Linked DNA regions of Oreochromis niloticus. The protein of the gene in region 1 purifies or fractionates together with the protein of each later gene. This does not show direct contact. Links are inferred from orthologs where the notes say so. Each region holds a gene or a part of one and is shown on either strand. Other genes may lie near its edges. The genes, in order: ppp2r2ba, ecsit, unconventional myosin-IXa and sertad4.

Region 1 (7,960 bases):
GAGATTCAACATCTCTCACTCTTGCTTTCTCCATACAACTGTTTCATATTTCTTCACACAGGGAGCAGCACAGGATCGTGTATCATATTACCAAGGCTGAACAAGGCAGCCACGGTTTTTTTCTTCTTCTTCTTGATCTATCACTTCCTCTATTATACCACTCTCTCATGTCAGGCAGAGGGATGGAGACTCAGAAAGTGAGTAAACAAGCTTGGAGTGAAGACAGTGAAAAACATTTTGGTTGTTGGCCGCACCTCTTAACATCAGGGAGCTCAAACTGAGTTGGTATTTGCGATCGAATGCAGTAATGATAAACATTTCTATCATGTTTACTCCATGTGGTCATGGTGAGAAACTAGGCTACAGGAAAAGCGGGTCAATTTATATTTTACAAGACAAATATAACATCTCTAAATTTAAAATCCACATATGTACACTCTAAGTATATAAGAAAAGTTTTCCATACCCATTTGTTAAAAACCTTTTTTGTAAGTTATTTTGTTGTGATTCATATTTTGTGCAATGCATTGCTCCTGATCTCGTTTATAGCTTGCATCTAGTATTAGATAAACACACTTTAAACCTTGGACCTTGGATTTTATACAAATTCAACAATATTCTGGCTGATATAAATAAGATGACGTTTATTGACGTCAGATGCTGATATTTGTCTGACGTGTTGTGCCGCTTTTGTGCTGATTAAATGTTCAAAAGCTGTGTGATGGAGATCTAAATGACTTTGAAACAGGTATATGTTCAAAATGCACTCAGATTTATTTCCACTGCACAATCAGAGCTAACTAAAAACAAAATAAACAACTAGAATCAGTGCTGGCTTTGGCTATGAGACAAACTGATAGCCATAATTTCACAGTCAATGTCTATCTTACATCCGACCTCCGCTTTAAGTGCTGTAATTAATGTTTGATAATCATACTTTAAATGGCTAATCAAGATTAAATTAGTCAGAAGGATGGAGGGAAGAAAAAATGAAATTTAGAACCGGGAAAGATCTGTGATGAAATAGAGAAGACACATAAAAAGTGCAAGAGTAGGTAGCCTCAAGTGCTTCTTCTTCTTTGGTGAATATATACAGTATATAGGTCAGCTCTACATGCTGTCTAAGACCTTGTCAATGCCCACAACATACTGGGACGTACAGTGTATCACACTATCTTCCCTTCTACCAGAAGGCTGAGGGCAGAGCACACACAGGAAAGAGGGCAACCATGCAAAGCTAAATAATGCAATGCCTCAGTCTCCACATTATGACCTAGTAAGTGGTTGGTTATACAAACACTCAGACCCTCTTGGGCTGTGTCTGACAGCACAATCAGCAGGATTATGAAGTCATTTCTCGGTCTAACAGCATGTCAATTCGCCATTTTAACTTCAGGGACTCCAGGGGAATAACTGGAATGGGTGAATGTGAGAGGTTTGGGCGACGTGTGGAGATGCCTAGATGCTCTTGAATTAAGTGATCTAGGCAGAGTGTGAGCTGGTGAAATGAATGGGAGAACCATGAGTAAGGAGCAATGTGGGTACTTGTCATGCAACTCCACAAACTGACTTTTTCTCTTGGCATCCTGTAGGCCTGTGTGTTGACACCTTTAAAGGGAGCAAAATGCACGAGAGTGGAGTGACACTGTTTACAAGACACAGTCACACACACACACACACACACACACACACACACACACACACAGAGTCTTGGAACGCTTTCTATAATTTGCATCAGAAATCTAGATTTGAGAAAGGGCTCCTTCAACTTCATGCACAGTGTCAAATCTGCATTGGTCTGGGTTAACCCTTTGGTTAAGCCGTAGCCCTTCAAGTGGCCAGCCTAACTTCTGCACATGTGTATCATATGTGCAGCAGCCTAAAAACATTGATGTCACAAGGCTCAAACTAAGCAACTCACAGACCCGTGAAAGCCACCCCCCCGTTAAGCGTCCCACCCTACCTTCGGTGTGGCAAGTGGAGGACAGGATGGTGCTCGGAGGGCGGAAGAGATACGGGAGATAACGGGAAAAACATTTCATCTTCTTCTCCGGTGCTTGCTGACGGGTGTAGAGCGTTGCGTTGCGGGCTCCACATCCGCACTGCTGCCGCCGACAGCCAGCCACAGAGGATCCGGGGAGGTTCGGAGAGGAGGAGGGGGGAGTGAAATAGGCTCTGTCCGCGGTGCAGGGGGGCTATGACAGCATCACTTTTTCACAGCCAGGCAGGAAGGCAGGCAGGCAGTAGGCTCCGGTAGAACTGCGCTTCACCCGGGGAGCGAATAGCGCACGGTGTCAGAGCGTCTCCGCTTCGGCAGGTCGCTCCGTGTATGTGGGCGAGTTTGTCTGAGCAGGACAGGGGGTCGCTTCTGTCCTCTTATCATGGGAGGTCAATGTATGTGTGGTCTGCTGGTGTGAACACCCTCCTCGTGTTTATTTCTCAGCGTATTTGGGTTTAAATTTAAAAAAAGAGCAGGGAAAGCGCAATTACTTCGGCGGGAGCCAGGAAGTGTTTCCTTATGAATTTGGCAGTCTGTTTTATATTAAATGTAGCTAAGGGCAAATACTTTGTCTGGAAATTACACTGAATGTTTTTTTGGGGGGTGTTACCGATAGAAAATGTGTTTTGCCGATCTATTAATGCTACTCACACTTATCCCTAATGCCTAAAAGAGGGCTGTGTACTGCACAGAGCCCAGAACTTGATGAATCATAGACAAAACTTGTTTGTAAACCATGTTATCGATTAACTAAGTTTGGCGCCATCTTGTGGAAATATTTAACGTAGCGAGCAAACACAACTTATAACGTCACAAAAAACAAACCTAGTAAACATTGTTGTGCTTGTTTACTAAAAACGCCCCTGCAATTTTATAAACTAAAAATTATTACGTGGCATTGTTTAAAAAATAAAGTTGTTATGCTGAATAAAAATCTTAAAGGTCACCTTATTTTAGTCGAATTTAACTCCTCGCAGCACACGCAGCACTAAAACAAGTTCCAGTACGACGAAATTGTGTCATGTTTGCCAGACCCCTCTGTGTTTACGCTTGTGTTTATCTGTGTTATCATTTTAAACACTGACTTCTCGCGAGACTTGAGTGTGAACTAATGCCAGCGGAAGTAGTTTGCGAGTCTCTTTTCCGCCGGCCATAGAGGAGCAAAGGCAGGGTAAGAATTCTCAGCAGATGAATTCGCCAAAGTTATCGTTATCCATCCTGCTTTTAATACCACTGTGTGTCCGTATACAAGTGTAAACCCCACATATACTTCAGTACAATTAAAAATCAGTGAATATTGGCTTCGTGTTGACGATGGATTACTAAATAAACGCTGTCAGTAGTTGGTCTCCCTGTTAGGTCCTTCAGTATCCGCATGTCGGTTAGCGATAGTGAAGCAGCTCTACTCCTGGTGCTAGCCTTTAATATTTGACCTATTTTACATTCTGTAAGTGTAGTGGGCTTTTAAAAACATTTTTTGTAGAGTGTGTAGTTTGTTCAACCACTGTACCGAGTTTATGTTGCAGAAATATCCCGCTTCAGTCTGACGGCTATCTTATGCTAACTGCTTGAGCTAGCTTAATAGTCGCCTTTAAAACGTAGCACAACCTAGCCAGGTACCTAATACAGCAAAATAACACACCTAGTGGACATTCTAGGTTTGGGTTTTGGGTTCTCAGAGTTGCTTTATGTGGTGTCAGGAGAAAGTAGTGGGTTCTTTAACCCTACATTCTTATATTTTCCTTAAAACTGTAGATCCTGATCCACAATTTGAGTGGACTGTTTTGCAAGCAAGTGCAGCCTTTATCCCCTGGGTTTGTCAATGTGCTATTACTTGTTTCTTTACAGCATCATGAAGCTCAATCCCTTTGTAACATCCTCCCGTCGCAAGAACCGCAAGAGGCACTTCAATGCCCCCTCACACATCAGGAGGAAGATCATGTCTTCCCCCCTGTCTAAGGAGCTCCGCCAGAAATACAACGTGAGGTCCATGCCCATCCGCAAAGATGACGAAGTCCAGGTAATGTGGTTTGTATTGCTGAGGGGTTCTTTTTCATAGCAGATGTGCAACATGTTAGGCGGATTAGTCTGACCTGCTTGTGTATTTACATACAGGTTGTCCGTGGACACTACAAAGGCCAGCAGATTGGCAAAGTAGTCCAGGTCTACAGGAAGAAGTATGTCATCTACATCGAGCGTGTGCAGAGAGAGAAGGCCAACGGAACCACAGTCCATGTCGGCATCCACCCCAGCAAGGTGAGACATAATTGAGTAGATACTGAGTTTGTTTGAGTAGACTTGTTCTGTGGTAGTGTCACACATGGCACTTACTGTTTGTTTGTGTCAGGAAGTGGACCTGAGAGATGTAGTCTTGAGCTTTCCATGTCACAAACTCTTAAGCTGATCAACACAAATTCAATGTGGAGAGTAGCTATATAAGTATTTCTTGGGTATTTTTGGGTTCTTAGTGTGTGCTTTATCTATTGTAATTTTGAAAGTTGAGGTATTTTAGATCTTGATGTTTGTTTCTTTTCCTAAAGCTGGCTCAGAGCCCTGTTCAAGAAGCATGTTCAACAAATAAAGTATATATATAAACTTTGAGTTTAAGTCTTAGGTCTGCAACTCTTAAGCTGTGTCCACGTTGAAAACGATTGTCGTGTTGTGCCTTTTAGCAGTATTCTTCATTCTGTGGTAGTCTTTTCAGTCACTGGTCTGAAAGTCTGAGGGTTCCCACCTACTTCACATTGATAACAGTTACGTCACTCAAAGTCGCCAAATATCATTCACTTTTTATTGTGTGCTTACCAGATTGCTGTGAACTGCTAAAGATTTTGGTTCCAAAACAGCTAATCAGAGTATCTTTATTGAATTTGAGTGTTCACCTTGAGTTAAGCACATGCATGAGTAGGGAAAATGTAAAGCCATCAGAGGAGCTCTGACACCAAGATTCACCCAGAATCATAGGATCATGGGATTTCTTCATGTCTGGGTTAATGAACGGAGGGATGTTCGCTAAATCTGCTTCCATGAGTAGTGCCCCAGTCACTACTGTAGTAAACTTCAATAGCATTCAGGTGCTTGACTCTCTCATTCTGCAGTCGGACAGACTACTTGACTAGTTGTCGTTGTGTGGGACGGTAGTAGCCAAAGGTGGTGTGTGTTGTGATCTGGAGATTGTAAGCTGGTGTTATGGTTCGTCGTTGGTATACTCTCTGCACATGTATACATGTATCCACTTTCCAAAGTAAAGTGGAGTCAGATTCCTTACTTGTGTGCACAAACAAAATAAGGGTGACTCTGATGTTTCTGATTCTGCTCATTGCACTTCAACGCCACCTTAGACCCATTTAAATATGGATGCTGGGTGCTGTCCAATCGCTGTAGTCTGCTCCTAAATTGATAAGTTTTCAAGACTCGATCACTGCATTAGTGCTGGTAAAGAAAAATCCAAAACAAGTAAACATTTTTATTGTGCAGAATAATTCAACTGCTGTGGTAGTATCCCGCTGTGCTATTGGGAAATCCCTATGTTCCTGAAGTTGATTTATCAAGGGACCAACCCACTCACACTTGTCTCCAGTGAGGCTGCAGTGTTTTAACAAAAAAAAAAAAAATAAGAGGAAAAAAAAAGGAACCTTTACAACAAGCCCAAATGACACCAAAACTCAGTATGCACCAGCAGCTCACTAAGGGCTATGAGGGTGCCATCAGTCCTTCTGTCTGCAGACTTCCTTTGTGGACAGTGTAGGATTACTAGATAAAAGATGATGCCACATCTAAGCCAGACTTCAGGTTTCTATATTACACATGTGTAAAGCTGCCTGTTCGGCTAAGATTTGCTGCTAACTAATTATGATGACTTAATCCTGCTCCCGGGTGCACGCCCTAAACTCTGATTACAGGTAGACTGAGAGAAATTTCACTTGGTTTTTGACACAGTGTTTCATCGTACTCTGACACTTGGTATTTTGAGCACTGAAGTTGAAAAATCAAAGTAAAAGTGACCAAATAACATTTTGTGGAGTGCAGTTGTTCTAGTTTAGCTGGATTATAGATTTTTTTTTTTCTTTTTTGAAAATTTGCTGATGCTGTTCAGTTCTAAATTACAGTGTAATGCATTAAACTACCAAAAAACCTCTTTCTGTCAGTTCTGTAAATCTGTAAACACTGGTGGACAGCTGAAGCAAGTACAGAGCTAATGGGAGAGCATGTGACATCTTAGATGCGGAACATTGGTAATTTAGGAAGAATTGAGATTATATTTGAATTTCAGCATATCTCTTTTAATTCAAATTTTTTAGTTTGTTTTTTAATATTTTAACATAAACTGGAAAAGCAAGATTTTCCTTGTACATTTGGGGGAAAAAAATCCTTGGTTACAAAAACAGTGGGGAACTTTTCAATTATTAAGCAATGTGTTTTTGTGTAATTTTATTAAAGAGATTTGAGGATAATTTCAGACATATTGCTATCCGTGAGAGAATACATGTTTGTTTACCAAGATGTTTTTGTGCCTGCAGGTGGTCATCACCAGGCTAAAGCTGGACAAAGACCGTAAGAAGATCCTGGAGCGCAAGGCCAAGTCTCGCGCTGATGGAAAGGAGAAGGGCAAATACAAGGAGGAGACCATTGAGAAGATGCAGGAGTGAAAATGATCTTTTGCTATCAATAAACTCTGTAAATGGACCTCATGTTGTCTGTCATATTTTCATTGTAACGCCCTAAACTCGGGAATGTTTTTTAGTATTTTATTTTAAACATGCTTGCCTTGTTTATGGAAATTAACACTTGGGTATACTGTATGCCATCAAAGTCATGTTCAAATCTCTAAACAGCACACTGCATTACAAGGAATGTAATGAATTGGCCAGTGCTGCTGACCAATTCATTCATTTTCCAGAGAATGAGTAAAATTGTCACATTCAAAGGAGAATTAAATCAGATTAATTTATCTTCACTGACAAAATGGCATCCAACAACTTTAATGTTAATAAATTAACAAAAAATAGTAATGAGTTCTTCACATTTTTATTTTAGTGTTACAAACAAGCTGTGGCCAAAATTGCGTGATTTTATCATTAAAATATGTTCAAGGTGAACTACACAAAGAAATGTTCTTTAATTGCGCAAATGAGTGTAGTTTTGTTACAGGCAAGGAAATTCACGTGACTGACTATACACCACCTCAGCTTCTATGTTGATTTTACTATGAAATGAAGTGAAAATCCAAAATACTGCAAGAAACAAAAAAATATATCAAAGCATTTAAGCAGAATTATGGAAACCCAGCGTTTGCTCTAACAGATCCAGATTAATATACTTTATGGATCCTGCAAAGAAAATTACTTTTACAGCAGCAGGATAAAGAATAAAAATGAAATCTTATGTCCTGACAGGTGTGTTCACCTGTCACAGAAGAAGAGCTGTTTTATAGAGAACAGTAGGAAACCATTTTGGTTTTAAACAAGCTGATGAATGAGCTCTGCTGCCTCTGCAGAGAGGACTGCGATGACCGTGATGGGTTGTCCATGATGGACAGCAGGTAATTCAGTGACCTCTTGCTCTTCACTGAATGCCTCTGGGTTCTTGCTGCCATCTCCGACAGTGTTCAAAAGACAAGAAGAAAAAAATAGATTTTGCAAGAAATTTTACATTAAATTTAGCAAAATTCTACTGAAAAAGTGAAACTTTTATATGATAAAGACTCATTACATGCAAAGTGAGCTATTTCAAGCCTTTATTTGTTATAATTGTGTTGATCGTGGCTTACAGCTTGTGAAAACCCCAAATTCAAAAGCTCAGAATATTAATATTAATAATACCTTTATTAATATTAATAATACCTTTCACAATATTCTTAATATTGTGAAAAGGTCGAGTTGTAGGCTCAAAGTGTCCCACTCTGATTAGCTAATTAATCCAAAACATCTCCAAAGGGTTCCTGAGCCTTTAAATAGTTTC
Region 2 (7,171 bases), on another chromosome or scaffold:
TAGTACTTCCCCAGATAGTCTGCTGTATTTTAAGGGAGTCAAACATTTGTGACTGAATAAATACGTTTGCAATCATTTTGTATGGCTTTATTAAATATGCTAAAAAGAATTTACAAAAACCTCCCAGCTGGTTGGGAGGGAGTCAGGAGGAAACTTTCTCCTGTTCACTGCTTCACACCCTGGCTTCTCCTGGGCTCCTCTTCCACTACAGCCTCAGCTTCTTCCACTACAGCCTCAGCTTCTTCCACTACAGCCTCAGCTTCCTCCCCAGGGTGTGCTTCTTCTCTTTGGACGTGTGAAGGAAACCAGGATCGACTGGCCGAGTCGGCGTCGCCCACCCCTTGCAGCTCCCGGGGTCCAGCGCCCAGTCGGAACAGCGTGGGGATCTGACCTAGGATGGGGTTACTCTCTTGGAGGCCAGAGATCCACTGATTGAGGGTAGCCTGGTCCCCCTGACTGGTCATGCACATGGCAAAGACTGGACCTTCATCCACTGGATAGACACACAGACACAGATCATCTATGTTACACCCTGGAAGTGAGGGGTTGTGGTCAACAGCAGTGATGCCATATCTTACAGTCTTCCACATCGAAGCTCTCATCGTCCCCCAGGTCGCGATCCAAATCCAGGTCTAGCTGCAGAGGATAGCTCAAACACCTCTCTGGGTCATAGGGCTCTTCTATCTGGGGGGAGGGAGGAGGAATGTTTTTGTAATTTAATTCACATATTCTATATTCATCAGAGTCTACAATGAGGGGAACACACAGGCGGTCACTGCTGAAAAGGCCGGCTGTTTGCAGATGACAGCCAGCCGAAGAACCGGGGAGAGCTTCACAGGCAGTGGAGTGAGGGTGGTGTCAGTTCCCCAAACACCAGCATGCACAGATGTCTACAGGAAAGCAGCTACAACTGCTGCATTCCTAATATCTGAGTGTATTAATGAACACACCAAGCTGGACATTTCTGTATTATAAATCCTGTTTTTAATTGATCTTAGGAAATATTCTAGAATCTGAGATTCTGGGTGTGACTTTTCTGAGCTATAACCCACAATCATTAGAATTCAAACACACTGTTATATGATCATCACACAGCATTTATTATCCACTACCCACTTTGTAATGGATAACAGTAATGTTCGCCCACCTTCTCTTCAGGTGGGGTAGGGTCAGCTCTGAGGACGTAGTAGTAAACACACGTTTTTCTCATCCACAGAGGGAAGGGGCCCTCCACAAACACGGGTCTGTCAGGGTTGTGCTTAGCGAGCGCTTCCATCTGGCCGGGGCTCTGGATGCCTGGTGCAAACACAGGAAAGACAGAAACAAACAACAAATATGGAAATTATGCCTCTATTAGTATTTATTAGCAATATATTTCTGACTAAAACACAGAATGTAGTTTCTCAAGTCATCCATACCTACTATATGTGGAAGTGTGACTTCAGCGCCGCTCTCTGTGACGTCTGTACAGGGCAGCTTGTGAGGAGAGCACACACACAAAGAGTTTGGTAAATACAAGATTTACATCTGATGACAAAAGTCAAAGACTGTTTCCAGCCTTCATGCTAAGCTAGGCTAACCCACACGTATACCTGGTAGACGGTCACTTTTGCATCCCAGTCGTTTGCCATGCGAGTGAGGCTGAAGCGTGCCAGGTCTACTGGGTCTTCAGGCAGTTGCTCAGGAATAGGAAAGGGGTTTACGTGCTTGAACTTGGGGAACCAGTACATGATACGCTGGTACTTTCTCATAGGGTGGGTCTTTTCTCCAAAGATCTGGACCAGCAGCACTTTGGTCTCAATGTTGGGCATGATACCTGAAGCACAGACACTGACACTTAGACACAAAAACAGTGTAAAGAATACCTCAAGATTCTCAGCAACTACCACAAAACTATAGACACCCACCATAATTCTCCATCTGCTCCAGGACCTGCACTCCACACTCCTGCTGACGGGGATAGTGGTTGAACATTCTCTGGATGAAGTTTCGCGGCACGAATACCTCTTTAGGAAAAACATCCAGCAGCTTGTTGTAGACAGTGAGGTCTTTTTCCACCCCGAATTCTGGCATCTTCTTCAGAGCAGCATAGATAAACTCCACATGACCTCGACGCCTTATGTCTCCCTTGGTGTAGACGTCTATCACTTTGTTAAATGTGGCCTTGGTTTTGGCTTCTTTGGCAACCTGCTCAAACAGGTCATCGTGGGTGACCAGAGATTTGTCCCTCGTCTTGTCCTCCTCCTGAACGAACCGTGCAGGCTGACCCTTGGTGCACGCTGGGCTGCTGTGGAAATGTCTCAACACCTAAAAGCAACATGTTTTAGTTATGAACGCATATAAAAATTCATTCATATGATCTGATTAGATTATTTATTGATTAACAACAAACAAAGAGTCGACTGCCAGCTGCCTTTCTCTGCGGTTATATCAGTGTGGTTTAAGAGCTTAAGTCTGGTCGCTGCTAAAGCTCACCTCGCGCTGTGCGCACTGCAAGCCGCCGAGCTGACTCGAGGAGCGTGGCCGGAATAGAGCGCCGTTGTCTCCAGCAGCAGGAGGCAGCAGCCTCCCTGCGTGGCTGAGCAGCCGCAGAGACTTGAGCTGATGCAGGCAGCGGCTGCCCTTCATAGTCGAGCCATCATAGCGAGTGTTAGAGAACAGAAGTGCGCACGGACGTGAAGCTCACACATTCACTCTTCGGTGAACCTCATCCAGCTGTAAATATTTGTACAGAACAATAAAACTTTACATTTCACATTTTTGTGAAGTTTAGTTCGTCAGCTGCTCAAACGTTGTAGTAAGGATAGTTATTATTATTACCCCAAAATGTATAACCAAGTTAATACTGACCATTAATGCCGACAATCGGACAAGACTAGAGTCTCCTTCAGAAAGCGCTGTCAATGTACGCTACCATGTTGAAAGGCCAGTACAGCATTCCGGTCCGACACGCGTTTCCTTCCCCCAAACAACGGAAACAGTGACAGAAATGATTGTTCCGTAAAACCGCAAATAAGCGCAGTAAATATTCTCCATTGAAATGCAGGAAAATTATTATTTAATCAATGCTATTATCCGCGTTGTAGCTATGATTCTTCAAACTATTAAACAAAAGTAAGAAAAGAGAACGCTAACTAAATTTAAAAAAAAAAAAAATCATTGTCGTGTTCTTGTCAGTTTAGTCTAATTCAGGAGATATTTCTTAAGGCAAGAGTCACCACTTTGCAGCCATTGTCGAGCTTATGTTGGCTGACAATGGAGTATTAAAATTCCCTTGAATTCAGATACACTCACGGTGACACAACGTTGCATTTATAGAATCGCTATATAAGGAAAACAACAAAACAACAACAAAAACAAAAACAAATAAAATCACAACTAAAAACTAAAAGAGATTTTAGTTATAAGGGAAGGGACGCGTAGAGCTGCCACCCAGGCAAAAGAAAAATACAGCTATATCACGTTATAACGTGAAAACTTTATTGTTCTAACAATATACCTTTCATGTTTGTACAATATAATTTTCGCGTTTGAACAACATAATATCACGTTTTTAGAATATACAGAATTATCACGTTATAACAAAAAAAACCTTTCACGTTCTTACAATAAATAAATATTTATCTGTCAATAAATATTATATTGTACGAACGTGGTAATTATGTATATTGTAATAACGTGATATTATGTTGTTCAAACGCGAAAATTATATTGTACTTACATGATGCTATATTGTACAAACAAGTATATTATTAGAACAATAAAAATTTTCACGTTACAACGTGATATAGCTCTATTTTTTGCCTGGATGGCAGGTCTACGCTTCCGTAATAAGGCGTTTTATATAAAATAAATAAATCACCTGTCTTGCGGGTATCTTTATGACGTCAGATCACTGTTACAAAAGGACATTTTTAACGTCAATTACGCTTTCTAACTGGATCAATAAAGGATATATAAAGTCACTTTACCAAAAACTAATTGAAGCTTCTACCTTGTGACAGGAATATTGTGTGTGGTGAAGACGACTGGATATCATTCATGAGGGATGCATGTGATATACGTTTCATTTCTTATAGGCCAACAAGTTATTTATAGCCGTTTGAATGCAGGCGATCACTTTCTGGCACAGGTTTCAGGGCTTGTAGTGCACAGCGCCACCACGAGATGGAAACAAATGCTCGTCTTCTAGCTGTCAGATGATGACTGCAGAGCTGCAGCCATAAGAAGCTGCTGTAAGAGTTCTGTGAAATGTTCTGGTATGCGGACACTGTGAAATCCTCTTTACTGAATCACTATGACTGAGGCGAATATCTGGCAGCACCTTTAGCCGTACCTGGTGCCTTCCCGCCAATAGTGTCAAGTTAGCTATAACGAGGGGCTACACTTCCGGAAGCGGTTTTCAGTCTGTGGTGTGATTGTTTTTTAGTTTTTCATTTTATATAAAGTAATTTCGAACTATATTTTATATTTAAGCTCGATTTACTTATAAGTACCCCCCACACCCGTGCGTTTAATAAACTATTACGCTTTATGTTGCGGAAAATTTCGCGTTTCCGGTATTCTTAGACCTGTCAATCGACTGAAGTCTCCAGAGTGTGGGCTGTGATTCTCTGCTGTCAGCATGGAAAACACACCTTAGTGCATGCTGCTCCTCTAGAAACAGGAGACACCGTTTAAACTGGGATTATGGATTCCTCTACCAACAGTTTGGGTGAGTACAGCAGCGACAGTGGTCCTTTGTGTTTGTGTGTGTGTTTTTTTACTGACACCATTAGCATTGTGGAAACTTCACTGTCCGTGCTCGGATCAGATAATCACATCGCTCTCAAAGGAACGCTGTCAAACAGCTTCAAAGATGGCAATCTTTAGAGAAAACTAGCATACACCGCACCATACACGTCTTTACACAGTTTAACTAACGCGTTAAACCTCGAACTTTGTTCGGCCGCCTTTCAGTCACACCAAAACTCTGTAACTGAACACTTAAATCCAGTTTTTCAGCAGTTTGGCAGCGCTCGTCGCCGCATTCTTTGGTGTCTTTTATTGCAAGCGGATAGTCGGCGGAACATCCGCTCTGTCTTTCAAAGGATTTTTGGTGCTTAATTTTGGGCTTTTCCACATTTCTCCATGTTTTGTTCAGTAACTCGTCCACACTTTAGCAAAGACAGACAGTGGTCTTAAACGTCGATGGAGAAACAGGACGTTACAGCAGCACTCTGTGACTGTGTAGATGTGTGGGAACGGGCTGCACATCGTTTACATTATTTCTGTGGCATTCAAATAGTTGTCTTAAGTCTGGCCCGAGTGATCAGGACACCCTGGAGGCGTGCCTGCAACGCCCTCACTTTGTGTTGCAAACTGAGTTGTGTGCTGCTGATAGATTCCATTTTGTCACGCGTGGGTAGTTTGAGCATCAACATTGAGACCACCGGCAGAGCGTTCAGGAGCCTGAAATAATGGAATAAAATGCACGGAAGATCGCAGCAGCCTGTGTCCATGCACAAACAGTTCATCAATATATTAGACGAAGTACCAGCTGAACATCCTTCTCTCCAAGTCACTGTGGGTTGGGTGAAAAAGCTCCACCCTGTCTGCCCCCACAATACTTATTATTATGCAGGAACTGGAAGTTTGATAGCTGCCCAGTGCTGCTTTTGATTCCCATCTGTATACAAACATCCACACCCCAAGCCTATCTTACATACTCATAACGTGGTTTCTTGAAAGCTGGTGGGCAGCCAAAGTACTGGGGAACAGCGAATATATTAATATCACATGGGGAAGCTTGAGGAAGGCAGCTGTGACTCAGTGCTGGAGGAACCTTTAAGACACAGCCATTTCTCTTAGTGAAGACCTGTGTTACGATGGTGATTATGTTTAATAAATGAAGGTTGTGATACATTACCTGCCTTGGAAAGCTGTATGAGGTGTGCTGGAACTTTGGAGATTTGCTTGTACCTCAGTGTCAGCTGGCTGGCTTATGTAATATGAGTTTGTAGGGATCAAATCACTGCTGTGTTCAGCAGTAACATGCAGATACTGATACGCAATATTTCCTCCACTGAATACAGCCCAGTATGGTGGACAGATTTGCAGGAATCAAATGCCAGCATAAAAGGTGAAGTAAATCTGACATTAGATTAAATGACTGGCTGATAGACAGAAAAACTATCTTTGCAAACTAATCATAGTAATTTTTTAGGGAAGAGGGGACAAATGTGCAGTGTATGCAGATTCCAGTGCCACACAAAAGAAACTTTACTGCTTTTCCAACAGTTTACTTCTGTTAATGGGTATTTGAGACTTAACAAAACAAGACATTTTAAAGATACTGCCTTCAGTTTTAATACTGATATCATTTTTTAGATGTTAAAAATAAAGTAAGATAATATATCCATATTGGAAATACAAAATAAGCCTGTTATCTTACTGCATTTCTGTTGTTTCATAACATGAGTCCTGTGTTCTGTAATTGTTGTGTCCATGACTTTTATCAGTAATGATAACTGTACAAGTTCAGTCTGGGCAGAAATTTGGAAAAGCATGAAAAACTCCTCAGATTTTCAAAATGCATTTACTGAGTCACTCCTAGCAGATGAACATGGACACATGCATGCTTTGTGTGTGTCTGTGTGTGTGTGAACACCATACAACCCAATGAAGTATCACACCCTCTTAAGTAACTGCATAACTTTAGACGTTACAAGAAACTCCCCGGCACAGAGTAAGGAATGGAAGACCTTTGTTTCAAATGACAGATGTGCTGAAGTCTGTAGTTTATGGCTCAGGAGGTAAAGTGTTTGTTTACTAGTTGGGAAGATAGTTTTTTCATACTCTGATCTTCCATAAAAGGTCACAGCTTATGCTAATAGGGTCAAATAGACCAGATTAGAAGAACTGTATAGAAATTCCAGTGAATGTGGGATTTATGTTTGGACGTAACTCAGCGTTACCTTGCTTACATTGGCAGGAATCCTAGTAAAGGTGGGGGATCGTACCATTAACCCTGACTGACTAACACTTCTTTCTGACCCACACAGATCATGTACAGTCGCACACTTAAAGGAGCTCAAGTGCATAAGCATAATATAAGTACCAAGCTCTTTACTATAAATGAGAACAGTGGAGGGAAAATAGAATCAGTGAAACGCTTTGCTGACACCGACAT
Region 3 (7,579 bases), on another chromosome or scaffold:
TTATGCTTCCATCCACGAATTTCCCAGAAAAAGTATGAGGCAAAGACCGGCAGTGTTTTTCTTTTTAGTTTCATGAGTCATAAAAGTCACATCATGAGATATAATTAACTGTGACACAAAGAAAAATTAAGAGAAGATTATGAAAAGACGGGATGTCCGACTTATTTGCACGGCTGGGAAATGAGACAGGTATTAGACATTGTGTCATTTCAGGTGGGTGTCAGACTGGAAGATTTTCCCAGAACATCTTTGATATGTACTGTATGGGAAACAATTGTTCACCAGACAGAATTTTTAACAACATTTACATCATTCTTTGTGACCAGCACAACTCAGCACTTTCAGTCTTATTTCAGTCAGATGTAAAAGTGCAAAAGAAATAAACAATCATCAGGTTGGCTGTGAAAACAGGACTTTAATGGAAACACAAACAGAGTGGATACCCGTCTTTTATAAATCTTATATAAAAAACATTAGTTTGACCTAAAATATATATGTTATTTGCTTTGTGTGTGTTCCTGCTGGTACACAGATGTTGCCACTGTGAGACGGGGCCAGTTTTCACCCTGTTTTAAATAGAAAAATTTCCAAGTCTCAAATAGCAAGAGGTGTCTTTGTTACTGTCTGCTCTGTTCCCGAGGATACCGATTTTTTCTTCATCCTATCTCAGGTTTCTCATGTCAGTAGAGCCCTGTCGGCCTCCTGGCTAAACTCCCCTCCATTTAAACGTTTCTAGTCGACTGTCTCCATCACCCCGGCCTCTTCTCTCAGCTCCTGTTCCTCCAATTTAATGTGGAGCTACTGTCATTTTGGACGCTGACGCTAGCCTGAATGCGTGAGCCGAGGGCCCCACGACGCGGAGTAGGATTCCAGCTTTCAGGGCCGAGGGGAGGATTTCCTTTTCAACATGTCTGGCTGGTAAATATGTCACCGGGCTGGAAACCGATCCTGTGAAAAACAGGTGGGATGTTTTCAAACCCGCTACAGGAGTGCATGTGATCTGTCTTTCTTCCCTCACACACACACACACACACACACACACACACACACACACACATATTTGAATGTAAAGAGAGTTAGTTCCCTGCCAGCAAAGGTATTATCTGTCAAGAGTAAGCAGCCCTGGAGCAGTTTATCTGAGATCGGCTGCTAAATCTTCTCTCATAAGATTCCTCAAAGATTTACTGTGTGTGGTGTGTCCGTACCTCAAAAGGAGTTACATTTCACCGAACACCCCTGCGGTGGAAACGAAAATGAAACGACAGTGACCTTTCCAGTGACAAATCCATCTTGACACAGAGGTGTGTTGTGTGAAGCCAGTATTGACTCACAGCCAGCTCGCTGTCATCACACGCCTCAAAGAAGAAAAAAACCTGTGATTAATTCTTATAATGACGTAGCAGAAATGTTCCTGTATACTCCGAGTTTTTTATAACTCTGACAATAATTTATTGCTTGATGCCAACGGCTGCGACCAGGGACCAATACTTTATCAGTTTGTTGTTATTAAAAGTTTCAACTAATGCGCAAACCACCAAATTCACTGCAACTTTGCATCCATGTACTGATGCTTACCAGATACAGTTTAACTCGTTAGCATGCATGTACAGATGTTTAGTCCACCAAGAAAAAAACAAACAGCAACTATGTAACTGATAACAGACACGTGCATTTTCTTTATCTGATGCCACTATGTTGAGAGTTTTAGGTGTTTTTTGAGGTGTGGCTCTGTCCACATGTGCACAGGTGTTTTGGAAAGCACAGGGTTTATGTGTGTTGTGCTGTGAGGTTTAGTTTGAAAAGATTTATAAAGACTTAGAAAATCAAAATGTTTATCAGGGAAGAAAAAGGAAATCAGATGATTATGATCAAGCATGGTGATCTGTGACTTTGATAAAAAACCAGTAGTTTCTTTCTCTGTCTTTGCCATTGTGCTTACTTATTGTGACATTTTTCACACATTAAGTTTTAAAAAAAAAAAACTTAGGAGACCTTGCTTTGGTAGAAAAGACAGTCTTTAGCTGGAAATGGAAAAATGCCATTGTTACTGGTGTCACCGTTGCGTCGCTTCTTTGCCCTTTCATCCATTCCAACCACTAACTTAATCACTTTCTTTATCATTTAGCAGTAAAACACATCTTGTTTGTTTTTACATTTAAAAGAAAAGTATTATACGAAATGATGTAGGTCTAGTAACAGCCTAAAAACACAACAACAAAAACTAACTCCCTAAAACTGCAGTTCCTCTAGTGGCCACTTGAGGTCATAGACTGCTGTGTTGAAATTTCCAACTTTAGAGCATTCAAAATCATGAGTACAACCTGCTACAAAAACAGTCCTCACCCCCCATTAGATAACTTTCCCCTCTATACTAACTCAATGGAAGTTTGAGGTGAGTGAAGTTCTAGTATTTAATCAGTGTGCTCCTTGGTATTGTGTCTGTGCAGTTTATGGCTGTACCTTGCTAACTAAACTTGCCAGTGAAGACCAGGGACGTCAAACTGATTTTACACTGTAGGCCACATACAGCCCACTTTGATCTTAAACAGTGAAACTTTGTTTTCTGTCAGTGTAAAGAAATTGAATTACACTTTTACTCCCTGATATAGCTTAATAGTTAATTCATTTGAGTTCAGTTTTATTTATATAGCACCAATTCACAACAACAGTCACCTCAAGGAGCTTTCTATTAAAATATATAATATATTATAAAATTACAGTGAAATGTTCCGGTAGCTCATTGCCCAGACTGTCCTATTATAAAGTAACGTTTTTATTAATTACAGAAAATATCCTCTTTTTGACCCACTGTAAAAAACAAAAATAAAACAGTGGGGGGGGAAGCAACTTTTCTATCTGTTGATTGTTTATCTGTTACTGTGTTACTTTGGCATAGCAAGATTGGCCATAAGGGAGGTCTTTATCAGTAGGAAAACTTGTAAAACTTTTACAGTTAAAACTCCAAAATGTATTGGATTCATTGCTGTGCTGATTCTGGCCCCAGGCCTTAGGCTTGACTCCTGTGGCTGATAACATCACATCACTCTATTTTATGATCATTTTTGGGTCCAAAAACAAACAAACACCCAAAATAATATGACAGCTTCCAGCCAGGGACGCCTCTGGAATTTTTTCATAGCAGAAGTAGCTTAAGATTCACTTTCCCAGAATGGAGTAACCTAATGTCCGCAAATTTGGGGGGCAGTGCCCCCCCTTGGACCCCCCTTGGTGGCGCCCCTGCTTTCAGCTTTCATTGTGAGTTGTAGTTCAAAATCAGTGTTTGACGCCTTGGTATTTTAAACATATTTTAAACTGTCCCTGAGTGCAACGTATGTACAGCCAATAAATATCATCATCAAGGAAATCATTCACTAGTTTTTAAGACACTTAACTTTTAACCACAAAGAAAAGCACACAGGGGTTTCTGCCAAAAAAAAGTCAGGAGGGATCAGCAAAGTCATTAGGGTTCATCCTCTGGGGATCATTAATGCTTGCAGCCATCCATCAAACTGATGCCGAGATGTTTTGGCTTGGCCCAAAGTGGTAGGCTGACAGACATCGGAGACGTCGCTGAGGCTCTCTAAACAGCCCAAAGACAACACTGGGAGTGCCTGAGATGTCACAGAACAGGTCGTGAGAGATGTGAATCCATCCTGGCATCACACAAGAATGTCTGCACATAATTAGGTCTCTTGGTAACATGTCTCTGACAGCAAGTGGTAATTAAATCAATGATACACTCATGCTACACTATAAAAAGTCCCTGACAGCCATTGGGTTTGTTTGTTTTTTCCACACTCAACATTTGGTTTATCCCATATAGAAGGATGTAAGATATCCACAACACATTCTGCAGCTAAAACAAATGCAGCCTCGTTGTCTAATAGATCTTTGGTGGCATATTTTAATCATGCACAAAATAATAGAAACATGTCAGTAAAGTCAGTTCTACTAAGGACACATTGGGAAGCTGGAAGCACATCAAGGCCCAGACACAGCCCTGCGTTCACTTGCTTGTACTGTGAGTCAGTTGTGTTTGTTTCTTTCTTTACTTTTAATGGTTAATTCTCTGCTGTCCTTTTGGCCCAGTCGGTCTTGGAAAAACAAAAAATTTTTAATCTCGGTGACACGTCGATTAGGATTGCATGATTGCATCTATAAAACAATAATAGAAAACAGACAGTAAAATTAAGCTTTCTGTGTCATTTCAGTGATCTGTATTAAATAAATAAGGTAAGCCTTGGTTTGGATTTCATCTTCAAAATAAGTACTTGATTCTGCAGGTAGTACTGATTTGTATATTGCTCATTTTATAACTGGCTTAATGCAAAACACCATACTGTAAAACCCCTCCACTAAATTCAGTCTTAAATCTTGCAGAAGTACAAAGATATTTTACTCCAATTTATGCATCTTCCTGTGTGTGTGCGTGTTAGTTTATTGTATATTGGGTGTGTCAGCATTGGCCACACCCCTCTGCACGTCATGATCTGAGTGACACTCTCAGATCCAACACGTTAATTCTGCTCAGAAAAAACAAACTATCAAAAACTACTTTTATTGCTCAGGTCATCTCTTGAAAACAATCGCTGTTGGTTCATAGCAGTCTCCCACCTCCACCCACCAGCATCACTGCTATAAAGCGCCCATCCTACGGTGTACGTGAACGCGCAAACGCGAGTCCACGAGCGATAACAGCACCACGGCTCGTAGAGGAAAAAAAGGGAGAGAGAGCGAGAAGAGAGCACAGAGGAGCTGGAGGAGCTGCTGTGGGAGGAGGGCAGACGTGACGGGAGCACCCAAAACAGAAGCTGCCGGGAGTACGACACGGACAGAGGGACGGCAAAGACCGGATCTTATCTGCGGCACATTTTGGAGATTTGAGCAGCCGGATACGCTCTCTGTTAACGACGGCGGCTTTTTCCCTGCGGTAAAAAAAAAAAAAAAAATCAGCACGGGTGTTTTTGGTGAGGAGGTCTGCTCTTCCTCTTCAGAAAGGACGGTCTGTGGCGGAGGGCTGTGCTCAGACTGAAGGCACGGTGGAGGAGGTAAGCCTTTTCTCCTTTCTTTCAGCTCCGTGTTGTTCAGCTCCCGCTGTCAGTAAGAGCAGACACCGGGGTGAGGAATGCCAAACCTCCGTCCTGCGGAGCTGCTGGCTGCCCCGATCAGTCAGCTCATCGGCTGCAGCCTCCTGTCCACCCCCCCACCTTAGTTCAGATGTTCCACCAGGACACCTAACCCACACCATCATTCAAAAATACCTTCCACCTTATGATGCCTACACACACACACACACACACACCTACACCTTTCTCACGTCACCCTCTTCCACCGCCGCCACCGCCTCGGATGAATGTCACCCTGTTTTCTTACATAATGCAGTAAATGTGCGGGTACGGTTACAGATGTTGGCCGGTGGATGCGAGGCTCCACATCTGGCGGGGTGCAGCAGATAGACGTGACGCACTGGTGTAAACGGGTAAGACGGTCCGGGGCGCTGACCCGGCCGGGCTCTGTGTCGCAGAGGACGGGCTGCTGGAGCTGCAGCTGCGGGGCTTTGTTTTTGTGTCATTTACCTCCCCGCTAACGCGCTCTGTGAGCTCGTGACGCTCGGTGGTGACATTTTTTTTTCGTCAAGCGCGAGCCTCTCAGCTTGCTGACATCACGCTGCTGCTGCTGATGGGGCATAGCTGCTTTTTTTTTTTTTTTTACAGCAGGGCAGGAGGATGTTCAGCTGCTGTGGACGAGGCTCAGTATATATCCTGTATTATGTCCTGTTGATCACAGCGTGCACTTAGAGCAGCGTTCTGCTTTACCTGTAGTCTAAACAAGCTTTGATTCCGGCCTGATCGTAGATTCTGAATGGTTTGATTTCGAAACGTAGGCAATTCGACTTTTTAATGCAAATGAGTGACTAAAGAATGCACTAATTTGACACACATCCATCCGATCAACAAGTCTGACACTTGTCAGCAAAAGTAGAGCTATCAACACCAGAGCGGGATTTTAAGCTGTAAGCCTGCTACAGATTGGAATGAGAGAGCAGGTAGAGGAAATGTTGGTGTGATGTAATACCAAAAAGTACGAGCCATTTTGTGATGTTAAGTCAGGCTGAGGATGAAAATAAAATAACACTTGAGTGAGAGTCTGAGTCAAAATGAGGTGATTTCAAACCAGCTGACAGGTTAAAACATGCCTGCTTGGCCTCAGTCAGACCACCGGTGCCCTCAAGGTCTCCATCCACTAGCTCCGAAAGCCCCAGTACTAGTTCCACCCTCCTCCTCCCCTCCCTGTGGCAATCTGCATGAAATGCCACAGTGATGGCACTTTCAAGAAAACAGATAACAGCATTTTGGGTGGACATCTTTGACAGGCAAGGAGAGACAAACACTCCTCACCACCTCTGGGTGATCTTGAGCTGTACTGTCTGGTTTCACTCTCCCCGTTGCCGGTTCGGGATAAGGAACATGCTGCTTTTTTGCAGTGTCAACTTTGCTGACGTTAACATTTCATGCAGGTCATTATGTAAGCCCTTGAGAGCAGAACTGAAAACATTGCTTTGACAGCTCCAGCTGGCTGGCGAATGGGCTCGTGAGCGCGGCGAAGGAGCTCCAAAGCGGCCCAGAGATGTTTCGTTTTTAAATCTGTGGCAGATGAAGACATTTGTGAAAGCGGAAGAGCAGCCAGGTGGCTATTTTTCCTCACAAGTTAATATAAACACCACATAAGAGCACTCAAGGCACTGAAAGAGAGATACCAGTCATTTCAATAATTCATAAACAGTGGAAGCCTTTAATCTATTTTCTACAGCTGTTTAGAGGCTCTGGACCAATGTGTCTAGATTTGGCTTTTTCTTGACTTTTTAATGCAAATGCAATCTTCTGCTGGGAAGCTGCTTTGTGAACATCACAGTGTGCCAGTTTAACTCACTGGGGCCCATTTTCCAAACCCCTTTGACAGGGATCTGCTGACAGCTGGTCACTATTTATGAATCCTACCTTGTATCCAGAACCTGGGAACTTGTGCACGTGTCCCTGATGATATGGAGGCTCTCCACTAAGGTTTAATTTTATTTAAACACTAAATATGTAGCCTGGAATTATGTCGTTTATTATCAGAAATAATAATCCATACTGGGAACGCGGTTGTTAGTGCAGCAAGAAGGTCCTGGGTTTGAATCCACCATCACAGGTAACTTGAACCTATCCCACTATTCAAAGATGTGTAGGTAGTGAGGTTAGCTTAACTGGTGATTTTAAATTGGCCGCAGGTAAGACTGGGAGTCCAAATTATCTGTCTCTCTGTGTTAGTCCTGCAACAGGCTGGCAACCTGTCTAGGATGTACCTCGCCTCTCGCCCTACGGTAGCTGGGATAGGCCCCAGCCCTCCGTGACCCTGAATTAGATAAGTGGAAGATAATGGATGGACAAATCATACAATCTTGTGGTTCATTGCTCTCACATCTGCAGTTTGTTTGGTTGATGTGAAACAGGAAAACTAATGGAAATGTGTGAAGGAAGGGTTAGAAAAGAGAGGCTTATACGGTAGTATTAATAGGGAATATTTACCAAGCCAAGTG
Region 4 (6,967 bases), on another chromosome or scaffold:
TCAGCTTCTCCAAAGTTGTTTTCCTTGCTTGATGGAGGCCAATAATTTGACCCCTCTGCAATAGAGCAGTGCATTTTTGTTTTTTTTAAGAAAGAGAATCTACTAATTTCATCGACTGAAACAAACATTTTTGTCCTCAAGCAGCTGCTCGAGGACCCGAGGGGCCAACTGGTTCACCTGCTGCCAGCATGTGAGACCATGTAGTGCTTTAGAAACAAGTGAAAATATTTGAAAGTCAATTTAAAAATGCAGAATTTACAGTTATAGGTTAGTTTAGGGTCGTTTGAAGAAGTTTAGATGTGCAACAGCAAACTTTTGACACATTAATTTTCTGTTTAATGTAGTCTGTTTACAAAAAAAAAAAACAGAAGTAAAATTTCCAGTCAGGGAATGAAAAACAAAAAGTAGATCTCTGTACGTTTAAATTCAGTGCAGTGTATATATTTCAATTCAATTCAATTCAGTTCAATTCAATTCAATGTTACTTATATACCGCCAAATCACAACAACAGTCGCCTCAAGGTGCTTTATATTGCACAGTAGATCGTACAATAATTTCAACTCTGCTGGTCTTCTTTTGCTTCCGTACCAAACAACAGAAACCTGTTTAACATCACTTCGACGAGCTCTGAATGTGTTAATCTTTCACAGGCTGTGTTCCACTAATTACGTGGTTAGACTTGTATGTTTATGCTTTGCTGTATTGTTTCTTATGCTTTCATTTAATTTACAAGTTTTGAAGAATTTTCTGGTTTTTAAGGCTGGCTTTAATTTGTGATTTTTTTTTTTTTTTTTTTTAGAAACTACCTATGCCACAGACGGCATCGGTGCCTTACTGTTTTTCACTCAGCAACCTTGTGTCACAGTGTCTTAACGTACCTATAAATGTATTTTTCTCCTGTACTTTGGACTGACTTTGATTTGTAAACTGTCTTATTAATTGACTTCTGATAGAGAATTTCTATGTGATGATATTGTTTAAAAAAGAAAAAAAAAAAAAAACCATCATCATATAAGCGTTTTTTTAATTGTGTGTTGCGTTTGAATTAATGTTCAAAAATTTGCCTTAAATTGCATTGCCACAAAACAACCAACAGGTGGGGCAACCATTACATTCTGTTTCTTTTTTGTCAATGTTTGAACTTCACTTACTTTATAAACTTTTAACTCTCCTCCGTTAAATGTAAACCACCGAAATTTGCATGAATTCAAAATGAGCGCGGCAGTGTTGTTTCTCGAAATCAGACTGCCTGCAGCTCATGCGGAGAGGGGCTCACTTGTACAGTGGCGTCTTTTGATGAACGTTTCTGCCCCACAGGCAAAGATATAATAGCTACACCCAAGTGTACATCTAAATACCGCTCTATTGCAGAAATCCTAAAAATGGCATGTGGCACAGAAAAGGAACGTTAAAAAACAAACAAGCGCATCTTTAGGTGGATATCTGTTACTCTACACCTAAATATGTTTTAACTTGTTGTACAAGAGTGTAATTAATTCTAGCTTCATTTTTATTGCACAGACAGATAACTTTAAAGCTGTCAGCCCTCCCCCCTCTTGTCGGGGACTTTGCTGTGGTGAAGTGACACCTCTGCTTTGTGTGATCCTGACACCCAGCAGTAGTTTGAGCTACATATAAAAAGAAGGTAAAGAGAGAGAAAACAAGATCAGAGATACAAGGTTTTCACAATTAACTGTGTTCCCAGACACGTTCCACAGCTGAACGCAGAACAAAGTGCTCTCAGGGAGAAACACTGGAAAATAAGATTCAGTGGCTGCTGTGGAATCAAAGGGGAAATGCATAACAGATGAGAGGGGCTTGCTCCCTCCCCTCTCTTTGTCGGTCACATCCCTGCAGAGCAGATCTTCCAACACACAACCTGTCTGAAAAAAAAAAAAAAGCTGTTAGAATCCTTCAGGTGCTGTCGGAAATTATATTATTACAGCCGGAGGGCACGTGGACGTTTGAGAAAGTAAATGAAGTCAATGGTGCAGCCAATAAAAACAATAAGCAACTGCCAGGATGGCTGAGCAATAAGTAGTCCTGCAAAACAAACAAAAGAGGCATCAATTTACTGACATTAGTTAAACTTAACTGAACCTGAAGGAGATTTTAGTAAGTAGAAGAGAAAGTAGTTCTTCAGGCAGAAATGAATGAAAGCATCAGAACTTACAAAAAGGCACGCACACTGCTGCGGCACTCGGCTTCATTAACTGTAATCCAAACATTGAGGTGATTTCGTTTCTGCAGCGAGCATCAACAGCCCTGCAGAGTGTCTGCAGAATACCAACATTTGATGGCTCCAGGCAAAAGCCGAAGTGCACGCTTTTTAGAGACCAAAGGATTATGTAAAGTGGTTAATAAAGAAAATATTAAGTAGATTAAGAAATACCCATTGTCTGCAACTTGGATTCAAATTATTCTCAACTACTGATTAACAGGTTTAAATTTGAGCCTGAGGGATGCTGGATTATTGGGGCCAAGGTGGAAGTTTATGCTACATACACGATACTTATAAGGAAAGTAATGATTGTTTAGAAACCAGTCTCTAACTTTCACAATAATTAGCTAATATCTTCTTCTACCTTATCCTCTGAAAAACAAAAAACAAACAAAAAAGCAATGAAAAGTAATTATGTATTTGTCATTGGCCAATATCAGCCATGCAAATATATATATATATATATATATATATATTTTAAATTCACAATATTTTTCAATGACGTATTTGTTTATTGAAGGAACTAAGGAAAGGAACTTGGGACACCGGCATCCTTGGACAGTATTTCAGAATCAGAATACTTTATTAATCTCTAAGGAAATTGTATGGGTTACAGTTTAGTAACAGACTAAACTAATTAAATAACATAACATGTTACAGAATTTTACCCATGTGTCTGTCTTACACTGGTCAGATTATCCAATGAGCATCCTGGGCACAGTAAGCAGCCTGTGAAAACTATTTTTTGGTGTTTTTATTACTTATTATTTTAGTATTTGCATATTTATATTTTTGTGTCATCCCATATACTGATGGAGTAAAAGGACTGAGACGGGGAATGAACAGCAACAGTAGCTGCACATAATCCTGATGAAAAACAATAAAAAAGCACAAGCTGTTTCATTTTCCACTTAATAACAGTTATATAGTTTTGGTTCTGCCTTTACAATGGTCTAAATTCTTCATAGCATGGATTCAACAATGTTCTGGAAACATTCCTCTCAGACTTTGAGATGATTGGAGCTTTGTGACACGGCGTGGTATCTGCTGGAAGAATCCACTAGAAGATGGTAAACCGTGGTGGTAAAGGGACCCACGCGGTCAACAACAATACGCAGGTAGACTGTGATGTTTAAAAGATGCTCAATTGGTACTAAGTGTGCCAAAAAACATGATTACAGCAGCAGCAGCAGCACTGTAAGCCATTGATACAAGGCACGATGGATTTATTCTTTCATGTTGTTTGCACCACATGCTGCCCCTGCCATCCAAATGTTCCAGCAGAAATCACCACTCATCAAACCGGGCAGTGTGTACAATTTAGCCTAAGTTCCCTGTTCTTGGCTGGCAGGAGTGACACCTAGTGTGCTCTTCTGCAGCTCGAGTGCGTCCGCTTCAATGTTTTACGATGTGTTATGTGTTCAGAGATGCTCTTCTGCAAAACTTTGTTGTAACTTGTGGTTATCTGAGTTGCTGTTGCTTTCCTATCAGCTCAAAGCAATCTGGCCATTTTCCTCTAACCTCTGGCATCTTCCAGAGAAGTGCTGCTCACTGGATATTTTCTCTTTCTCTGACCGTTTTCTGAAAACCCTAGAGATGACCGTGCTGGGAAATTCCAGTAGATCAGCAGTTTCTGAAACACTCAGACCAGCCCATCTGGCACCAACAACCACGCCACGTTCAAACCCACTTAAATCACCTTTCTTCCTCATTCTGATGGTGGCTTTGAACTTCGGCAGGTCGTCTCGACCACGTGGACATGCCACTGGATTTGGCTGACTTTTAATTTGTACCCAGGGATCCCCCACATAACAACCCAGCCACGGCCCTATCACGTGGTAATAAAAACGCTCTTCTGTGGGTGCTTTTTGCAAAACAAATAACAAATTAATCGACATACAATAACGCGGGCGCGATAAGTCACTGAGAACGGGAGAGTGGGGGAAGTTCCGAGCAAGCCGTGAACTCCTCAGCAGTAGTTGACTGGTCGGGATGGAGCTGCGGCGCTGCTGCTGTTGTTTTCTCTCCGACGCACGTTCATATTAACTGTCAACCGACGGGAGCAGCTCGGGACCCTCTGCGCGGAGAACCACCGTGAATGGACTACCACAGAGAGAGCCGGGGCTCGCCTTTATCCCTCCGCCGAAGAGAAGACAAGAAAACATCAAATAAAACAGCTGCGGCATCTGTCAACCTTTGCCGTCTAGGAAAACGCGCGGGTGCAGTAAGAAAAACGGCGCGCGCTCACTGATTAGTATGTAGACAAGTCGCTAATTAACTGGTAATTACACAAGTAGTATTTAAACCCGCCTGTGCGCCTCGCGTGTCTGCCAGGAGTCTAAAATTAGACCGAGGCAGAGCCGCCGGAGGACGCGGTAGTATTTATTTAGTAGTTGTTGTTTTTTTTTTTTTCGTTTTTCATTAACGCACCTTGGATTCCTGCCGTTACCACAAAGCAAGTGTGGAGCCGAGGACGAGGTCAAAACAATTCAAGTCAGGTAAGATCATATCTGCTCGCTCTAATGTGTGAACGTGCTCAGGATCCCGGCGCTGGAAAGTAAAAGTAGGCTCTTAAAATAAAGTAGTAAACGGTCTGGGTTCGTTTTTGAATCACTGCGCGGTCCTTGTTTTCAGTCTGCTTGTTAAACAGTAGCTTATGATTTTGTTTTAATGTGCTACATGTTAAGTTGTGAATGGAAAATGTTTATTGAAACTGTTTTTGTGCGTCCTCCTGAATTGTGTGCGTGATTTTACCGACCTGAGTAAACTATTGGATAAACCTGATATAGATCTTGCTACCTGCCGGATTAATGAGAACCGGGGCGCTCAATAGCTCACTGGTGTGACATGACAGACACCCAGGTCCTACACATTACGCAGGCTGACATAACCAGCCACTCTCCTGGCACCCATCCAGCCTCACTTCATTATTTTTGTGGCGACTGCTCTTGGCTGCAAATCCTGAAGTGGCGGTTGCCTGTATTACTGCTGCCTTCTGAAAGGACAGGCTTTTAGGCGATTTAGCTCATTCCTGAGCTTCTGTTGTCTCCTTGATGTCATTTCTGTGCTTTCTCGGGCTTAGAGTCACAAGCATCCACTGCTCCCAGGGTGGACTATTAACACCCTGTTAGCCCCAGATGGGATTAAAAAATTCCAGCTTGGCATGCGTAATGGAGTGAAGGCAATAAATAAACATCATCTCCCTCCGCCTTTCTGTATCTGCTGTTTTGGTGAAATAAAGGCTTCGAGTGCAGCCGGCTGGTAATAGGGTTGGATACGCTTCACCTCCTCTCGCTGCCAACAACATCCGGAGTCACTTGCCAGGAATTCCACCTTTGCTATTTGTTTCCCTTGGAGGGGGGTGAAAAGTGCTATGTGGAATATAGTGAGGCACGAAACAGGGAGAAACATCCAGGTCAGACAGTACAGACGAGAGGGGTTGTAACAAGAGGAAGCGTCGGGGCTTTTGCAGCACGGTGGACGGCTTCTTGGCATCCAGCTCGGGCAAGTCCGATGCCAGATTCCTTCTCTTTGCCGCCTGCCAGAGCCCCTCCGCCCCACCGTCTTTATCAAAAGCCTCGCTGTGATTTCCCCCTTTCAGTTCTGTTGCTGAGCTATCAATCATATCTCGCTCTCAGCAGACTCTTCTGCTCATTAAGGATGTGAACCTGTAGGTAGCCTGCAGCCCCCCCAGCTATTCATCTCCCTCAGTGGGGCGCAGAGACTCACATCTGGAGCAGCATTGCAAAACATGGCTCTTAGCAGACATGTAGTGTACGCTTAAGGAGATTCAGTGCACTGGTGCCAAGCATAAAATTAACAAGTGTGCGGCTCATACACAAACCTGCACTGGTATGTAATTAGGCAGAAAAGCAGAAAAAGGATAGATGTAGTGGATTATAGAGACTCCAGTGCAAAGGAAAGTCTGGAAAAATAATGCTGAAGGGATGTCAGTGGTGATGATAGTTGGCTGGCTTCACATCATCCCCTTTGTCCCTCTCTTTCTCTGCTCTGTTTTGTGTAAAAGGTCTCAGCCAAGACAAGTTGAGCTGCTTTAGTGAGTGTTTTTGTGTGTGTGTCAGGACCGCAGGGTGTAGCCCCAGACTTTTTTTTCCCTCCCCCCCTCAGGCACAGCTTTCCCATCATGAATGCTCCTTTGTGCTCCAGAATGACACACAAGTACGAAGAGCAACTTCAGAGGAAAGGATAACGCACGTTTGTTTCTGCACAATTAAGTGTAAAAATAGAGGAAGGTGTGACTTCCTCTTGCTCTCGTTTATAGCAAGGAGCTCACGGGCAGTATTTACAGCCCGAGATCCTCTGGCTCAAGAGGAATTTTCTCAAAGGTTTCTTTCAGTGCTTTAGTGTGGGTGTCTGGGGTGAATTTCGACCTGACAGAATTAATGCAACATGTACAAACACTGCTTCAAAATGCCTCACATTCCAGAAAGGAAAAGTAGTTAATCACTTATCATAACTGCTAACACATGTGCAGTCTTGGAGGATTTCACTCCCATTTTTTTATTAGCTTAAAAAAAAATCACCTTTGGTTTCATGCACAGGTTCAGAAGGAAGAAGAAAAGTGGATTTGTTACACTTTTCTTCTTTTTTTTTTTGTACACAAACACACACGATGCCCTTGCTTGTCTTTATTGTGCGGCATGTCCACCTCTGGGAGCATCGGCAGTGACGTACCCACACACAACCCCGGCCCGTGAACCCTCACAGCCACAACAAGCCGTCCC

The links.
Region 2: the proteins of ppp2r2ba (region 1) and ecsit purify together in Homo sapiens (affinity purification with mass spectrometry; 3 studies listed by BioGRID and IntAct, with this or other methods). This does not show direct contact. The link is inferred for Oreochromis niloticus from reciprocal best matches to the Homo sapiens genes PPP2R2B and ECSIT.
Region 3: the proteins of ppp2r2ba (region 1) and unconventional myosin-IXa purify together in Homo sapiens (affinity purification with mass spectrometry; 4 studies listed by BioGRID and IntAct, with this or other methods). This does not show direct contact. The link is inferred for Oreochromis niloticus from reciprocal best matches to the Homo sapiens genes PPP2R2B and MYO9A.
Region 4: the proteins of ppp2r2ba (region 1) and sertad4 purify together in Homo sapiens (co-immunoprecipitation; 3 studies listed by BioGRID and IntAct, with this or other methods). This does not show direct contact. The link is inferred for Oreochromis niloticus from reciprocal best matches to the Homo sapiens genes PPP2R2B and SERTAD4.

What each region holds. Positions count from the first base shown.
Region 1 is NC_031966.2:29,656,445-29,664,404, reverse strand, and holds the start of ppp2r2ba (serine/threonine-protein phosphatase 2A 55 kDa regulatory subunit B beta isoform), read right to left. Parts: upstream 3,023-7,960; 5' UTR 2,043-3,022; coding exon 1,964-2,042; intron 1-1,963. Other genes in the region: rpl26 (60S ribosomal protein L26), read left to right, coding at 3,852-4,019, 4,115-4,255, 6,520-6,648. UniProt on the Homo sapiens protein: The B regulatory subunit might modulate substrate selectivity and catalytic activity, and might also direct the localization of the catalytic enzyme to a particular subcellular compartment.
Region 2 is NC_031967.2:3,207,110-3,214,280, reverse strand, and holds the start of ecsit (evolutionarily conserved signaling intermediate in Toll pathway, mitochondrial), read right to left. Parts: upstream 3,006-7,171; 5' UTR 2,851-3,005; intron 2,716-2,850; 5' UTR 2,629-2,715; coding exon 2,476-2,628; intron 2,308-2,475; coding exon 1,908-2,307; intron 1,817-1,907; coding exon 1,593-1,816; intron 1,477-1,592; coding exon 1,419-1,476; intron 1,297-1,418; coding exon 1,148-1,296; intron 685-1,147; coding exon 579-684; intron 494-578; coding exon 165-493; 3' UTR 1-164. Other genes in the region: eml3 (echinoderm microtubule-associated protein-like 3), read left to right, coding at 4,690-4,714.
Region 3 is NC_031972.2:44,062,307-44,069,885, reverse strand, and holds the start of unconventional myosin-IXa, read left to right. Parts: upstream 1-4,559; 5' UTR 4,560-5,048; intron 5,049-7,579. UniProt on the Homo sapiens protein: Myosins are actin-based motor molecules with ATPase activity. Unconventional myosins serve in intracellular movements. Regulates Rho by stimulating it's GTPase activity in neurons.
Region 4 is NC_031983.2:26,686,584-26,693,550, reverse strand, and holds the start of sertad4 (SERTA domain-containing protein 4), read left to right. Parts: upstream 1-3,949; 5' UTR 3,950-4,720; intron 4,721-6,967.